Linked DNA regions of Drosophila melanogaster. The protein of the gene in region 3 purifies or fractionates together with the protein of the main gene of each other region. This does not show direct contact. Each region holds a gene or a part of one and is shown on either strand. Other genes may lie near its edges. The genes, in order: CG31125, CG32219, betaTub85D and Phb2.

What was found.
Region 1: the proteins of betaTub85D (region 3) and CG31125 purify together in Drosophila melanogaster (affinity purification with mass spectrometry, with the first as the bait; one large-scale study listed by BioGRID). This does not show direct contact.
Region 2: the proteins of betaTub85D (region 3) and CG32219 purify together in Drosophila melanogaster (affinity purification with mass spectrometry, with the first as the bait; one large-scale study listed by BioGRID). This does not show direct contact.
Region 4: the proteins of betaTub85D (region 3) and Phb2 purify together in Drosophila melanogaster (affinity purification with mass spectrometry, with the first as the bait; one large-scale study listed by BioGRID). This does not show direct contact.

The regions. Positions count from the first base shown.
Region 1 is NT_033777.3:24,652,871-24,656,852, forward strand, and holds CG31125 (uncharacterized protein), read right to left. Parts: upstream 1,951-3,982; 5' UTR 1,700-1,950; coding exon 524-1,699; 3' UTR 501-523; downstream 1-500. Other genes in the region: ash2 (absent, small, or homeotic discs 2), read left to right, coding at 1-169, 228-332; CG6695 (uncharacterized protein), read left to right, coding at 2,414-2,610, 2,702-3,982.
Region 2 is NT_037436.4:19,949,486-19,952,803, forward strand, and holds CG32219 (uncharacterized protein), read right to left. Parts: upstream 1,651-3,318; 5' UTR 1,588-1,650; coding exon 1,518-1,587; intron 1,452-1,517; coding exon 1,281-1,451; intron 1,231-1,280; coding exon 1,019-1,230; 3' UTR 538-1,018; downstream 1-537. Other genes in the region: Ac76E (adenylyl cyclase 76E), read left to right, coding at 1-120; CG34258 (uncharacterized protein), read right to left, coding at 1,863-2,086, 2,141-2,311, 2,369-2,471; CG33710 (uncharacterized protein), read right to left, coding at 2,695-2,906, 2,972-3,142, 3,200-3,305.
Region 3 is NT_033777.3:9,407,858-9,412,265, forward strand, and holds betaTub85D (beta-Tubulin at 85D), read right to left. Parts: upstream 2,426-4,408; 5' UTR 2,196-2,425; coding exon 1,803-2,195; intron 1,744-1,802; coding exon 796-1,743; 3' UTR 526-795; downstream 1-525. Other genes in the region: CG44261 (uncharacterized protein), read right to left, coding at 1-288; Task7 (TWIK-related acid-sensitive K[+] channel 7), read right to left, coding at 2,900-3,173, 3,229-3,629, 3,684-3,745, 3,812-3,967, 4,031-4,160. UniProt on the Drosophila melanogaster protein: Tubulin is the major constituent of microtubules, a cylinder consisting of laterally associated linear protofilaments composed of alpha- and beta-tubulin heterodimers.
Region 4 is NT_033778.4:18,817,562-18,822,810, forward strand, and holds Phb2 (prohibitin 2), read left to right. Parts: upstream 1-1,905; 5' UTR 1,906-1,963; exon of another isoform or gene 1,964-2,059; 5' UTR 2,060-2,071; coding exon 2,072-2,204; intron 2,205-2,634; coding exon 2,635-2,981; intron 2,982-3,043; coding exon 3,044-3,277; intron 3,278-3,479; coding exon 3,480-3,557; intron 3,558-3,622; coding exon 3,623-3,722; coding exon of another isoform or gene 3,723-3,730; exon of another isoform or gene 3,731-3,928; coding exon of another isoform or gene 3,929-3,948; exon of another isoform or gene 3,949-4,278; intron 4,279-4,414; coding exon 4,415-4,539; 3' UTR 4,540-4,689; downstream 4,690-5,249.

The DNA.
Region 1 (3,982 bases), about 15 Mb from region 3:
CCGCATCGAGTTCTTTAAGAACGGTCAATCGCAGGGTGTGGCATTCGAAGACATTTATGCCGGCAGCTATTTCCCGGCCATCTCGATCCACAAAAGTGCAACGGTCAGCGTAAACTTCGGACCCGCCTTCAAGTATCCCGAGGTGCTCGTCGAGCACAAAGCCAAGGGGGTAATATATCTCGGTTTGTTCCCAGGAAGCTTAACATCTATTATACAATCCCCTACAGATGCACGATCGCGTGGAGGAGCTGATCACAGAGCAATGTTTAGCCGACACCCTCTACCTCACAGAACACGATGGACGTCTGCGCTTGGATAATATGGGTCTTTAGTGGGATATGTCGTCATACACATGAGTTTTGGAGAACTAGTGTGTTATTTTTGTATGCACTATACTTTGGAAAGCAGAAATTTGAAAAGACTATCATCATACTATCATACCTAAAACATTTAAAATTTACCACTTTTAAAGCAGAAGAATTTTAAGAAAACACTCTTTTGAGATCAGTTTTATTGTTTGAGGTTACTTGAAGGCTTTGAATTTCGAGGCACTGTAGGGTATGTAGAAGGCGCTGCTGGGCGCAAATTCGGTTCGCGGATGATGAACTGCCGCCGAGATAGATCGTCCCGTGGATGGTGTGTTGCTGGAAACGCTGGTCGCCCCAAATGGATGCAGTGTGGAGCGGTTGGAGGAACTGTTGCTGTGGCCATGGCTGTTGTGTCCGCCCCCGCCGCTGGAGTTGGTTTGGCTCGAAGTGGCCGTGGTGGTGGCCAGCAAATCCCTGCTGTGCCTGCCCAGATTAAGCGAGGGCAGGACTACCGCGTTCCTGTTGTTAAAAAAGCGATTGGCGGCCATGGGCATGTGCCAGGCGGACGATCGATGACTTTGATGTGGCAACACGGCGGACTTGGCCTGGTTCTGATGCTGCAGCTGCTCCTTCTGCTGCACCTGGGTGAGCTGAACGAAGCTGCGGTTGTTGAGCAATCCCCGAAAGCGCCGGTTGGTATCGAGCACATTGAGAATGGGCGGCATGCGCAGGCGTGCCGAGGATTGGGTGGTGGCTGAGATGGGCAGCTGGGGCTGGTTCTGCTGGCTGCGCTGTCGTTTGAGGAGTCTAACCGAAACGGAGGTAACCCGCAGATCCCTGTCCAGTAGATCCACCAGCTTCTTCTGGCTGTGCCGTAAATAGGAGTGGTGATGAGGCTGTTCTGGTTCTTCTGCCTTGGGTGTCAGAAATCCATCCTCCGCCTCCTCGTCATCATCGTCGTCGTCCAGGGAGTTCAGACTAAGATTTGAAATCGAGTCAATATCCTCCCGCGTCTGACTATCGAAGCTGTGGTGGCGCAGCGTTCGAGTCCGGCGGCCCAGCAGGCTAGGGAACTTTCGGTGCCAGTCGGCGATCTCGTTGCGCAACTCGGGCTCCTGAAGCTCCGTCAAGGGATCCTCGCCGCTCATCAGCCGCTCCACCCGCTCCCAGTCCAGCAGGTTCTTCTTGATGGCATCGTCCGCCCACGGAATGGAGCCCACCGAGCTGCGGTCAATGCTGCTAGAGGAGTAGGGCACATCCTGCAGGAACTCCGATTCATCCGGATCGTCCTTATCCGCTTCCTGTTCGTTGTTGTTGTCGTTGGCCTTGCAGATGGCACCCTCATTGTCCTCCAAATCCGCTCCGAAATAGTAGCGTCTGTCTGAGGACATCAAAACTGCTCCAGAAAAACGAGCTGGACTCGTTCTGCCTTCGCTTTCCCTTCCCTGCTCCTTGATCCTTGCACTCGCAAATCCCCGTGGGTGTCCTTTCGATTTATGTAGCTGTGCCTGTGGATGTGTTCCCCTTCAAAATCGATGCCGCAAAAGGCGGCGAGCGTCAATTGTTGTGTTGTGGCCCATTCCAGTTTAGCTTGTTATTTATTGTCCTTTTGTTGTTTCGACAAAAGGGCGCAGGCTCCACGGCGTTGCCAGTGTCGACCAGAAATAACGTTCGCTGGTTCAAAGTGGTTCAGAAAATCGATCATAGAGGGTATTCTTTTTGAGCTTAGCTTTTAAAGGGACAATAACTCTATTGAACTCTTATTTTAATCAAAACTTTGTAAATTACAAATCTTAAGGTTATGATTGGGCATAAGGAAATACTCCACAGCGATAATCGGTTTAAATACTAGTAATTTTTCAAATATCCCGCAAAATTGCTGCCTGTCTGTCATCCATCAATGTATCGATGTTTTAGTGTATATTGTATCGTTGTTACGTCGCTGCATCTCCCACCACTAGGTCGAGTTTTAACCATACGGTCATACTGTATATCGTCGGTTTTAGCTGGTGTAGGGTCATATTTTTGCCGGGCGTGCTGATGTCCTTTTTCGGGTGAAGCCAAGTCATTTGCCAGCCGGCGATCGCAGGCAACACAAGTACGGGATGTGGCACGAGGCGAGGAAACAGGAGCGCAAGATCCGTGGCCTGATCGTCGATTACCGCAAGAGGGCGGAGCGGCGGCAGTACTTCTACGACAAAATTCAGGCAGATCCCACCCAGTTTCTGCAACTGCATGGCCGGCGAAGCAAGATCTACTTGGATCCCGCGGTGGCCGCCGCCGGCGATGGAGCCGCAATCATGCAAGTGATATTCATTTAGAGCATAAAACCCTCTACTTTCTAGTTGCGTGGCGATGTTTTTGTTTTGCTAAGTAATGGATACTTTTTGCAGTGTGCCTTGGCAGGGTCAGCAGGACAACCTCATCGACCGCTTCGATGTACGCGCCCATTTGGATCACATTCCTCCCGTGAACAAGACCAACGCCGAGGGGGCGGATGGTGACTCCGAACTGACCCTCGAGGAGCGTCAGCTAAACTACGAGCGCTATCGCATCCTGGCGCAAAATGACTTCCTCAACGTCAGCGAGGATAAGTTTCTGCACCAACTCTACCTGGAGGAACAGTTTGGGGCCAATGCCCAACTGGAGGCGGAACGGAATCTGGCCAAAAAGAAGCAGAAGACGGGAGGAGCCACAATTGGCTACTCCTACGAAGATACCGGCGATGGAGCGACTATTGGACCTCAGCCTTTTGGAGCCGCCAGTTCAACTGTCATTGGTGGAGCGGCAGCTGTTGCGAAGGGTGAAAAGGGGGATGGCAGTGAAGAATCGGATTCTGACATCGATATGGATGTGTCGATAGACATCGGCAAGCTGGACACCTCGCAAGCCCATGAGCTTAACGCCTGCGGGCGCAACTACGGCATGAAAAGCAACGACTTCTTCTCACACCTCACTAAGGATGCTGACGAGGCGGATGCCCTGCGCATTGCGCGCGAGGAGGAGCAGGAGAAGATGCTGCTGAGCGGGCGCAAGTCAAGACGCGAGCGTCGGGCGCAAAAGGAGAGAAGGATCGCCAATAGACCATTCAGTCCGCCAAGCTATGCTGCCAAGGAGGATAAGGACAAAAAAGGTGGTGGTAAGGGCGGTGAGAAAGAAAAGGAGGAGGACAGCGAATCGCGTTCGCCGTCGCCCGCGGAAGCAGGTCCCGAGAAGATAACCTACATTACCTCGTTTGGGGGCGAGGACGAAATGCAGCCGCACTCCAAGATCACCATCAGCCTGACGAAGCCTGGTCTGACCCTGGGTGAATCGTGCATCAATGCCAGTAGCGGAGCGGCGATTGCCGCCGCCGCAGCATCTTCGGTTTCCTATGCTCAAAAGGTGAAAGATAATCTGGACAAGTTGAAAGTGATGAATGAGTCGTCCAAGCGCAACAGACGTCGATCCCGCTCGCACTCCCGCTCTCGTTCTAGGAGTGCCACAGTCTCAAGGAGTCGGAGTGGTAGTCGTCGGAGTGGCAGTCGTCGTAGAAGTCGCCGCAGTAGAAGCTATCACAGAAGGAGCAGGACGCGTTCACGTCGCCGACGAAGGTACTACTCTAGATCAAGATCCAGGTCGAGATCAAGATCCCGTTCGCTGTCAAGATCCAGATCCAGATCCCGCAGTCGATC
Region 2 (3,318 bases), on a different chromosome or scaffold from region 3:
TTGTTAAGGCCGACGGAAATGCAACGCAGCCGAAGGCGATGACGTCATCGGCGGCCAGGATGAATGACGCCCTTTCGGCATCTTTGGCCGATTTGAGCGAGCAGGAAAATGGAACCACGGGTGAGTGTGAAAATCCTCCTTAATCCCTGAATGGAAAAGCTGCTTCAAATCAAATTAATTTCACAAAAGGCAGCATTTTGTATTCTTTGTAGACGGTGGAGCTTAAATAAGAACTAGGTTATCTAAAATACTACTAAAACCCTGTTGAATATAAGCATAAAACGCTTCAATTCGTTATACACCAGTTTAGTTTTGCCATTGGAACTGTCGAAAACTAAAATTCGTATTTACTACAATTATTTTCTTGTTTTCCGTTTTATTTGTAGTAAATATATACAAATATTTACGGCATTACCTATGCATTTTTAAATCAAGAATCATCATCCTCTACAAGAGGATTTCTGTTTTGAACATACATTGCCTGGATTTTGGCTTCGAAACGTATAGTAACTCAACTTTCTTATGTGTCCAACTTACCGGGTGTAGAATGTATTTAAATTTTCGTTTTGGGTGTTGGTCTATGAAATGAGCCTCCGGCTCGGTTGCCATTCATCTTCTGGCCAACTCATGGCCATATTCGCTGGTTGCCTTGGTTTGGTCTTTAAATTGAGTGCCCAACCCGCCGGTTTTGTCCCCTGGCTGGCTGATGTAACCCCGTGCGCTACTTAATTTGGGCTTGTCACGATAACATCGGGGTCTCCCCATTTCCACTTCCGTTTCCACGTACAATTTCCAGCGACGGCTGCTTTCTTTGGAACATCGCGCGTTTGTTGTTTTAATTAAATTTACCCCGGCCTGGGCACAGTTCATAATGATAACTATGATAATGATGACCAAAGAGTTACTTTCACTATTAATTTTTGATTAACTCATCCGGGTCTTTTGACGGGGGTTGAGTAGGTCCTAGGATTAATGCAAAGTAACTCTCTTTATTGAAGAAGCAGGTCAATTATGAACTTTAGTTCTGAAAGTAATTGCAACCGATCAGCAGTAATGAGAGTAGCAAGATAAGTTTCTGTGGATAACTAGAGCTCCTCCCATCTCCTGTAGTTCTTTGGCAAAAATACTTGCAGTTATTGCACAAGTCTTTATTGCTGAAATACTTTTCATTGACTAGTATCGTACAGCCCAGCTTCGGTGACCAGAAACAGCAGTATTCCTGAATGGGATCTGTAGTGATAAATGCCGATTAAATGAGTGGCAAGGCAAAAGTGACTTACATTTTATCTCAAAACAGTTTGGCACACATTCAGCAAACGCACTTTCCTCATCCGATGCAAATCTTAAAATTGAGTTTTGGTCATCTTTATGGCAATGGAACCCAACCACCTGGCCATTGTTGTTACTTATGCCCGGACAACATCCACAATCGTAATGATCTTCGACAGCCGCTTTAAAATCAATAAAAAAAAGTGTAATAAAATTATTAATACCTTGCTAATAACGAGGTTACTTACAATGATTATGATTACAATCTTCGTAAGTATTTCGATAAAGTAAAAAAAACACTAAAACCTGTATTAGCATTCTTATAAAAGCGATTTTAAAGGAAAGTGTACTTAATATTTTGAGAGCTTTGTCATTGTGAACTTGGTTAAAAAATAGATTTTGATTTGAAAATAGCTTTATTTAATCTTATCGACCTAACTAGCTCATCAAACTAACGCATACTCATTAAAACACATCATCGAATTAAAAAGATACCCTTTTATTTGCTGTTTGTTATGGTTAATTTGATGGGTCCAAAAATATAAATTATATAAAAATGGCCATCCCATTCTACTGTGCAATTATAGATTATCCTAGTATATGCTGAGTAGCAGAAAGGCCAATAAAACTGAGAATCCGTAGGATTCCGAGACCTTATCACTTCCATCCGAATCATCGACATAGGTTTGCTTAGTTGCGCTGCAAAATCGTCTGCAAGTCTTGCAGCTATATATTTTCTTATCGTAGAACTTCCTTCCGATCAGCGCAGAGCATCCCAATTTCGGTGACCAAAAGCAGCAATACGCTTTTATTTTCCCTATTAGACGATAGTGGTAATACATTTGACCTGGCCAATTTGTGAAGGACTCACGAGTTGCAATAAAGTGGTCTGGCAGGCAGTCCGGATAACTATTTGTCCATTTTCCAAAATTTTCCTCAATGGCCGAGTCATCTTCGAAGTGGCAATGAAAATCAGTGTTGGTACGAAAGTTCTTTTCACTTGAACAATTTGCGCAAGCCGGAAATGAAATTTCATGATCGGCTATGCAACCAAATAGAAATAGATTTAAATTCCATAAAATTTTATTAGGTAATTTACCTGAAGAGAAAGGCGTTGTGGAAGTATAGTAATTTTTTAGGTTTATCGGGTGCCCGCACTTGAGAGCCAAGCAAATGTAAACTAGCAATACAAAAAATTTCATTTCATAATTTATATAATAAACAGAGTCAATTATTTAAAAAAAATGTCTGTTTCCGTTCATTTGACAATTTGATCTTCGCCTAACATGCTTGGCAATTTTTTAAATTCATATTAGTATGATTTGAAGCGATTTTTTGGTTTCCAAATTACTAAAAGAAATTGATTTATTTTTAAGTTCTTTTTTGGCACAATATTTGAGTATGATTGTAGTGATCCCTATCCTATCAAATCCACAGTTCACAAAACAACAGTGCCATTATGAATCCATATTCCGGAATCCTATTGCTTCCGACTGAGTCGTCGGAATATTTCAATCCGGAACAAGATCCTTTGCAAGTATCGCAATAATCGGAGCTTTTATCGAACAGAAGCCTTCCGATGAGAGCTGAACATCCCGATGTCGGCGACCAAAAGCAGCAATAGTTTTTAACTTCCCCTATTATTGGGAATTTGGAATGTTTGGACCTACATATATCTAACTTATACAACTCTTGAACGAACCATTGATAACGTAATCCTTTGGCACACAAGGCGCATATTTATCATCTGTCTCGCCAAACTTATTTTCCACCTGTCTTTCATCTTCGAAGTGGCACGTAAATCCTGTACTTATATGCACGTTTTTTATGTTTGTACAATTTCCACAAATGGGAAAACCTTGGCTATGGTCAGCTGGTCAGAATAAAAATTCAAAACTCAAATCAAAATTTAACTTTGGTTTACAATTACCCGTATTGTAGAACTTTCGAATGCCCTTTTCAAATGTGGAATTTACTGAAATAGCACCTTCGCAAACAAAAGAGATGGTGTAAAGTATTACCAATGCAAATTTCATTTTTTTTTTATTA
Region 3 (4,408 bases):
ATTCTTATCCATCTTTCGAAGGGAGTAGCGCGGTTCGTTGCTGCTCTCCTGGCTAGTGTCCAGACCACTATCCGTGCTGGTGTCCTGCGCCTCCACGTTCATCGAGATGTCCGTCTCCGATGAGTAGCTTGAGCTGATTGATTCTTCTAGATCAACATTTGTGCTATCCTGGTCGTCTTCCGACGTCGGTTTTCCACTCTGCAGTTGCGATATGGGATGCGGATTTATGCGCTTTCGGCCGCGCAGATAGCCACTGCGAGAGGTAACTGGAGTAGTCGGAAAATACATCTTGGTGCCTTGACTTCAATGACTTGAATGACTTGAATGATGACGGCCTGTCAGAAAGGAAAGCTGTCACTTTCGTAAGGCAACTCTAAAAAATGATTGCCAACAAAATATAGATTTTCGATATTGAGCGCTTAGCCTCAAATTCAATTCAATCCAGAATATTTATATATTAATGTTTAGGTTTATGCAATGCCTTTTGAACGGTATAAAAATATGCAAAATGCTGTTGGTAATCTTGTCTGCTTATAAATCAACATTTATTCGTAACCCAGAAATCACAGCAATTGCAACATGAGCTTAACAAAGGTGGACATATTTCTTCTGTACGTGTGTGAATGATAAATAATCGAACAGTGAAGAATCCATATAGGAAATATGTACAACCGACGGGCCTCGAAGCACAATATGCTAAGGCCCAAAGATCCAATGTGTTGTGCCTTCCTAATGGGTTCCCCTGCTAGCCTGTTTTGGTGTTCATGTGTGATCTTGAGTGGGAAGTTAATCCTATTATTCATCGCCGCCACCCTCTTCGTCTTCATCGAATTCGCCCTCCTCATCGGCAGTCGCCTCCTGGTACTGCTGATATTCAGAAACCAAGTCGTTCATGTTGCTCTCGGCCTCTGTGAATTCCATTTCGTCCATTCCCTCGCCGGTGTACCAATGCAAGAAGGCCTTCCTTCGGAACATGGCGGTGAACTGCTCCGAAACCCGTTTGAATAGCTCCTGAATGGCGGTGGAGTTGCCAATGAAGGTGGCCGACATCTTGAGACCTCTGGGCGGAATATCGCACACCGCTGTCTTGCAGTTATTCGGGATCCATTCCACGAAGAAGCTGCTGTTCTTGTTCTGAATGTTGAGCATCTGCTCGTCCACCTCCTTCATGGACATGCGGCCACGGAAGATGGCGGCGACGGTCAGATAGCGACCATGTCGCGGATCGCACGCAGCCATCATGTTCTTGGCATCGAACATCTGCTGGGTCAGCTCCGGAACGGTAAGGGCCCGGTATTGTTGCGATCCTCGCGAGGTGAGCGGTGCGAATCCGGGCATGAAGAAGTGCAGCCGGGGGAAGGGTACCATGTTCACGGCCAGCTTGCGAAGATCAGCGTTCAGCTGGCCAGGGAAGCGCAGGCAGGTCGTCACACCAGACATGGTGGCCGAAACCAGATGGTTCAGGTCACCGTAGGTGGGCGTGGTCAGCTTCAGTGTGCGGAAGCAGATGTCATACAACGCCTCGTTGTCGATGCAGTACGTCTCATCGGTGTTCTCCACCAGCTGATGCACACTCAGGGTGGCATTGTAGGGCTCCACCACCGTATCGGACACCTTGGGCGAGGGCACCACCGAGAAGGTGTTCATGATGCGGTCCGGGTACTCCTCGCGGATCTTCGAGATCAGCAGGGTTCCCATGCCGGAGCCAGTGCCGCCACCCAGCGAGTGGGTCAGCTGGAAGCCCTGTTGGAGAAAAGTAGGGTAAACTTTTTCAGATAAATTCCCAAACCCCCAAAACTTACCTGAAGGCAATCGCATCCCTCGGACTCCTTTCGCACCACATCCAAGACGGAATCCACCAGTTCAGCACCCTCGGTGTAATGACCCTTGGCCCAGTTGTTGCCTGCTCCCGATTGGCCAAACACAAAATTGTCCGGCCGGAAGATCTGGCCAAAGGCGCCAGAACGAACCGAATCCATGGTGCCGGGCTCCAGGTCCACGAGAATTGCGCGTGGCACATACTTGGCACCGGTGGCTTCATTGTAGTATACATTGATGCGCTCCAGCTGGAGATCACTATCGCCGTAGTACGTTCCGGTCGCATCTATACAGTGCTCATCCGAGATTACCTCCCAGAATTTACCACCGATCTGGTTACCGCATTGACCGGCCTGAATGTGTACAATTTCACGCATTTTGATAGTAAAGTTAGGGCCCCTTTTTCACACCGAAAAAATGGTACAAAAAAAAATCGAGCTTTTAAAACAGTCTGAGTGGGGCAAAAATCGGCAAAAGACTGAATATTTAAACGTATAATTTTTCAGGTTTAGATTTTAGTCGTGTACGTGCTAGCTGATACTGAGGTGAACTGAACCTGGCTTGGATTACTACACCGAATGTTCACAAATAGGCTACTACGATTTCCGACTTCGACACATTTCACACACCCCGATTTCAGAAAACTCAGTTCTCCGTTTTGAGCACAAACTTTAATAGTACTTACATAGATAAACGAATATACGGCTAAAATTCGAGATGGGATGGATTTGGCGGTGCCTTGGAAGCAATAGAGGATTCCAAGGCTACCGACCAGATGATACGATTGATATTGACATGGATGTCCTGGATTTTACTCCTTTGTAAATGTTTATATGGGTGTATAATGGGATGGGTCGATTATTTCTTAAGCAAAAACTGCCTTTTAAAGACTATTAACCTTGCTCTCCAAACTTATATGTATTATGACCCATCCTGGTTTAAAAATCTACGTAGGGAGGAAGGTTTGTCTAACAACCAAATTTTGGCGGCGGATGGTTCTCTACAGGATTGTAACTACGATTTGGTGATCCATTGGCTCTGGCTCCTACAATGAGGAGTCCCACAGCTGGCTGTACGGATATCAGACGGAGGCTCGCTTCAGGCACAAGGTGCTCTCGATAATGTCGGTAGGCTGAAAGTCCGGGTCCACGAACTGCTCATGATTCAGGCACCTGGTGCCACCCATGCAGGTGCAGGAACACAGGGAGGCGGTCTCATCGTTCTCCGTTGTGTAGTTGTTCTCCAGCAGCTTGCCGTGCATATTGTACGTGGACTCATCATCGAAGGTCACCGGCTGGGCATTTCCAGCCAAGTTCTGAGCATCCTGCTCATCTCTCTTGGCATCCTCTGCTTGCCTGTGATTAAAAATCCATTAAATAAGATATTTCCTGCAATAGAACATGGACTCACATGGTCATGAATCGGAGCACCAATAGATTGATACTGGCGGCCACCACGGCCAAGCCGAATAGGATGAAGACCAAGCTCAGCGCCACATAGCCAGGCTTATTAGTTAGAGCTTGGTCGTTCTGCAATGCCACATAATCGCCGAAACCAATTGTCGTCAAGGTGACAAAACAATAGTAGAAGCTATCGAAGTAGCTCCAACCCTCGTATCGGGAAAAGACTGCTGCTCCAGTGGTGATTATTATGGAGGAGAGCATTCCGGTGGCCAACATGAGATTCATTTCGGTGGCATCCGTACAGCGAGCTCCACTGGCTCTCTTTGCCCGCCTTATTATCACGGATGCAAACTTATTCAGACGTTCTCCGATAGACTGGAACATCACCAGACCCAGCGGGATGCCCACCTAATAAGGGAATATCTTTAGAAGACTGGAAATTGGGATTGTAAGTTCACTTACCATAGCATAGCCCATACAAAATGCTTTTCCCGGAATTGTAACTGGCGTAGAATGACCATATCCTAAAGAAAGTTACAACAGAATTATAATCTATTCAATAAATCATATTTAATAGATAATTAATTTACCTATCATTGCCAGTACAACCGTGCTGAAATAGAAAGCTCCAGCGAATTTCCACTGAGGTCCGGCCTTGTGGGGCTTATTTTCAATGATGACGATTTCCATCACACGGAAATCCTCGTCAGTCACATTGTACTTTCTAACAAAGTTGTTCTTAACGGCTACAATTGATTAAATAAATTCATTACTAAGAAATTAGGTTAATAAATCAACAAGCTTCTCACTCTGTAGGAATTCCCATCTTTTGGCCTCCGTTGGTGACTCCAGGGAATCGAACACGGCGGCTCCAATTAAAAGATAGGTGAAAGTGCATACCACCAGGGAAAGGGTACGGACATTCTGTCGCTTCATCATATAGTCTCAAATATAATCACTACGATCTATAATCAATTAATATATTTTGCACCACGCGCCTTTTTCGTTCAGTTAAAGATGCTGCGTCTGACAAAATCGATAGTTGTCAGCAAAACAAACACACAGCATCCGCCAAAAATGGTTGATTTCGGTTACAGTGGCCGAATAACATATGATACAATGAATTTTAAAAATTTCATCATTCTTTAAATATGTAATAAGTTTTCTTTTATCTATTGATTTGACCG
Region 4 (5,249 bases), on a different chromosome or scaffold from region 3:
CTGATTGCACAAGTTTGCCGCCGGACTGGTGATGAATGATGCCCGGGTTCTTAATATGCAAAACGTGCTGTTTGGCTTGAACTTGGCCAACATGTCGACTTTAGTTCCTCAATACGAAACTAAAGGCTTACACCCCCTCAAATTCAAGTTCAAGTGCCTGTCGTTCAATGGAAAACGAACGAACTGCCGCCAAATTGGCAAGCTTTGTTGGCCCCGTCAGTGAGCACATAATCACATAACTAAGCTAAGTACGACCTATTCGATGTTGGCCATACTAAAGTCGACCGATCGCAATTGGCCGTTCGAGCGGCCCGTTGCGCATGTTAATTGCGGGCCAATAGCCGATTTTGGCTCAGATGACATTGACTAGGGTACTTCCACCCATTTCCATTGTAGCCCACTCTAGAACTTGGGTATTCCGATGGTGAGTTTCTGCGGTCTTTCAACCGAACTCATCAGGAATTAAGTGCACACGAAGAAATTATGACGTATTCCGCATATTTGATTAATTATCAACAAATTTATAATGATTATTCAGTGCAATAGTCAAATTTATAGCATCTTTCACTTGATTTTTTCTTTTAAGAATTCCGCATAACTTAAATATTTTTTTTCAGTGCTGTGAAGCTTAAAACGTAGATTTCCTTGGGGAATTCTGGAAGTGCGAATACGAACGTCATCGTCAGATATATTTTTATGCAAACTTTGCACTTCGAATGCCAAATGAACCCAATCGAATTGGGTTGTCTTAGGTTCGCAGTTTAATTTTCGACGTCAGATCGAAATTTAGCAGCCATTAGGAGCCACCTGTTAGCATCTTAACGTGATGTGATCAAAAGAAAGGTGGCAGGTGCGTCAGTTGACCACCCGAAATTTTGGCTTTTAGCGCGGCTAATTCGAGGAATTTTCCTCGCCGCTTGATGGGGGAGGCAAAACGACATCCATCTAATCTAATCGATGCTGTCCCTAAATTAATTACGAGTCCATCAGTGGCTAATTTGCGACAAGCGCCATAAAGCAATAAGGCCCAATCAGGGGGGGGACTAAACCATAAATACTAATCTATAAACACTGCGCAGAGGGTAAATCCTCAAATCAGATTGTCAAAACATGACGAAAACAGAGGCCACCTTTTGATAAGGGGCACAGATAATTTCTCCGGCCGATTTAAATTCCTTTCCGCTCCAGCACACTGGAGCTATTCGCTTGAAATTGTAATTGTCACAAATTTACAAAAAAAAAAAAAAAAAACACAACATGTGAGTTTAAGTGCTGCAACAAAAACAAAAAGCCTCAGGCATCAGGTTTCATCATCTATTTATAACTTTTGGCTACAGCGTTAGGTGATTAGTGGTAACGCACCATGAGTTATTTTTTTTTGCCATATCTTTTTTATGTTTATTTTAATTTACTTTTACGGTTATGTAAATATGTTTAATTTTAAAGCTAACTAGCACATATATTCATTATTATATTATAATATATATTTTTTTCTTTTACTTTCGTATAACTGATTTGGGTAAAGATTTGAAATTTTAAACCAAGCCGTTATCAATACGCCTAAAATCGCGATCAAGCCGCACAGAAATCGCACTCAAAACGCGCCAAACGTGAAAAACGCGCCGTATGAAATCGCGTGCAAGCCGCAATACTCATTTATCAAAACCAACGATCAAACCTTATTCTATACAAACAAACATGTGCGCAATTCGTTCGAAAATTCGTTTTCTAATTTATTAAAGAAATTGCTGAAATACTACTATACAAATGAATGGAGTAATACACTTAACTAACTCGGAAAGTTTTTTATTAAAAATTAAAATACAAATAGTTGTTAGCAAGCACACAAACCGATAATAGCAAAAATATTACATTTTTGTATCGATTTAAATAACGAATGATTATGTGACAACGTCACATACGGTCACACCGAACCAAACGTGCGTGAGAGTTTCCCAATTTTGTACGTGGAAAAATCATACGTTTATTATCACAAAATCTATACAGAGTGCTTTGCGTTTACCGACATTTAATATATTTTTTAAATTCCTCGTCGCAGAAGACAAACAAGATGGCACAGAGCAAATTGAACGATCTTGCCGGCAAGCTGGGCAAAGGTGGTCCGCCGGGATTGGGAATCGGACTGAAGGTCCTGGCCGCCGTGGGAGCAGCCGCCTATGGAGTCAGTCAGTCCCTGTACACCGGTAAGGATAAAGCCGATAGGATAAAGCCACCGATTTGAGGGATAAAACCATAAACACGGGCAATAGCGGCATGTGCACATAACCTCAAATGATTACAGAGTGCATAGAGATGTTGCTTTGTGTGTGTGTGTTTCTGCTGTTTCCCGGATTTCATAACTTCCAATATGATTTGCAATATTCTTATTAGACTCTATCTAATAAGATGCATGTGAGGAACATGCATTAACTTATCAGTTATCCTCACTTTAATTACTTGTTATTGTTGGCCAGTCCCACATTTCATCTTCCCATGATTGCATAACAAACTCCATTATATTTGTGTTTACTTTCGGGTCTTAAGTCCAAAGTAATTACATATAAGTTATATATTTAACTATTTACTATACTATGTATGCAAACCCACTCACTTGATTAATTCTCCTTTCAACAGTTGAGGGTGGTCACCGCGCCATCATCTTCAGCCGTCTGGGCGGCATCCAGAGCGACATTTACTCCGAGGGACTGCACGTGCGCATCCCCTGGTTCCAGTATCCCATTATCTATGACATTCGCTCGCGTCCCCGCAAAATATCCTCGCCCACTGGCTCCAAGGATCTGCAGATGATCAACATCTCGCTGCGTGTGCTGTCGCGCCCCGATTCCCTGAACCTGCCCTATCTGCACAAGCAGCTGGGCGTGGACTACGACGAGAAGGTGCTGCCCTCCATTTGCAACGAGGTGCTGAAGAGCGTGATTGCCAAGTTCAATGCCTCGCAGCTTATTACCCAGCGTCAGCAGGTAGAAATCTTCATACTAACCATGGTTAATTCAGTTTGTATATAGTAGTTGTCTGTTACTAGGTATCCCTACTCATCCGCAAGGAGCTGGTCGAGCGCGCCCGCGACTTCAACATCATTCTGGACGATGTGTCCCTCACCGAGCTGAGCTTCGGCAAGGAATACACGGCGGCCATTGAGGCCAAACAAGTGGCTCAGCAGGAGGCACAGCGGGCTGTCTTCTTTGTGGAGCGCGCCAAGCAGGAGAAGCAGCAGAAGATTGTTCAGGCTGAGGGAGAAGCCGAGGCTGCTAAAATGATATCCTTTTACAAAACACTAACTAGAACATTTTTTCCCTTTTACATCTGACTAAAAGGCTGTTAGTATGTTGTGAGCTGGAAAAACTGTATTGTTTTTCTGTGTTCATCGTTTATTTTTGGCCTTCTTGAAATATGTAAATAGGGATTATGCTTACCCAATTTATTGCCACCTACTGGTTCTTCTTAACTGATATGTTTACTTAGGTCTGGCCGTGAAGCAGAACCCAGCCTACCTGAAGCTGCGCAAGCTGCGTGCCGCTCAAAGCATTGCACGCACGGTATGATTAATCTTTTAAATCTCTTCTGATTTAAAATTAATGAAATGCTTTTCCCCTATCAACAGATTGCCAGCTCACAGAACAAGGTCTATTTGTCGGCGGATAGCTTGATGCTTAACATCCAGGACTCTGGCTTCGATGACATGACCGAGAAGGTTTACAAAAGTAAATAGCTCTCGTTTTGATTAACAAAAAGAGTTTACTTTTAAGTTGAAAACACTTGTACTTTTGGTTTCAATCACATTGGCCAAAACTTAGACATAGCCTTCATAATTGAGTAATTTCTAACGCGTTTTCCGTACTCCATCTCTCTTCCTATTTGCCGCACAAAATTTCGTTCTGTTAACGTTTCACCCGATCGCGCAACCCAGTAGCCGATGACCTGGACTAGGAGGCGATCCACATTCGTTGTTAATTAATTTTTATTGAAATTCCTTCGAGCTAGAGCCTAAGTACCGTTTAGTTTTAACCACTCCCAAGCGGCGCATTGGCTTCATTTTTTCACGAATTATCTGCCAAGTGCTAAGTCCTTGTCACCCGGAGGCAGCTTCATCCCACATCCGTTCACTGGGTGCCAAGGATTGAAACACGGCCAGGCATTTTGTGGACCAATGATACCAATGCGGGCAAATGGCCGCATCAGCATTTAACTTTCCATGTCCCATCATCGAGAGTCACGTGAAACGGAAACTGAAAATAAATGCGTACTGAGAACTGTCTGAAGATCGTTGTGTCCCCCTTTATAGATTGCAACTGATTTCAGCTTCAACTGCCGGGGCACACCACTCGTGAAAAAACGAAGCGGCGTCCCCGTGCAGCGATCCCTCCACTAATCCCAATCCACCCAATCATTGCAGTTGGCACCGGTCTGCCCAAGGACTGGTTGGACGCGCGGAAAATGGCCTCGAAGGTCGCCCAGCCGGCGGAGAAGGAGAAGAACGTGGGCAACGTGGCGAGCAGCATGGCCGAGCGGATGATGTGATCCACACCTTAGCGGGGGCTTCCTGTCAAGATCCTAGTACAAAGCGCATACAGAACAGAGCCAAACAGAACGCCGACTTCGTCGCATACGATTACGAAACATTTACTTATCGTTTTAATTGCGTGTATAAAATACATAAGAATAGTACATAAGAGTGTATACAGTATATAATTTAAGTGTATAGAGGTTTATGTATGTAAATTGTAGGCAGATTAGGTTGCTTCTCCAGGAGTTGTGTCCCCGCGGCATTCCCATGTTGTGTGTGTGTGAGAGATCTTGACTAGAAACATGTGTGTGTGTTATGGGCATGCATTCACTGCGATGTTCATCCTTGATGTTGAGCAATCGAACCACCGCCCGGGGTCTCCAAGTCATATAAATATTCTTAAGTCTATCCATAACGAACTCGAACAATCAAATTCCTGCATTAGGCGCGTGGGGTTAGCTTTGTATGTGAGTTAATTTGTAATTGTTAGGTGGCTTAGAAGCGACGCGACATGGACCAGGATCAGGCCGTCGCCGGTGGCTTTCCTCCTCCGGATCCGCTGGCCCCGCTGGTACTTCCGCTCTCGCTGCCACTGCTGCTGGCATTGCTGTTGGCCCTGCGGCTCTCGGCCAGACCGGGTGTGTCCCTCCGATGACGACGCAGCGTGGAGCTAGCCGATGGCGCGGAACTACTCAGAGCAATGTTGGCCGTAAAGGCAGCAGCC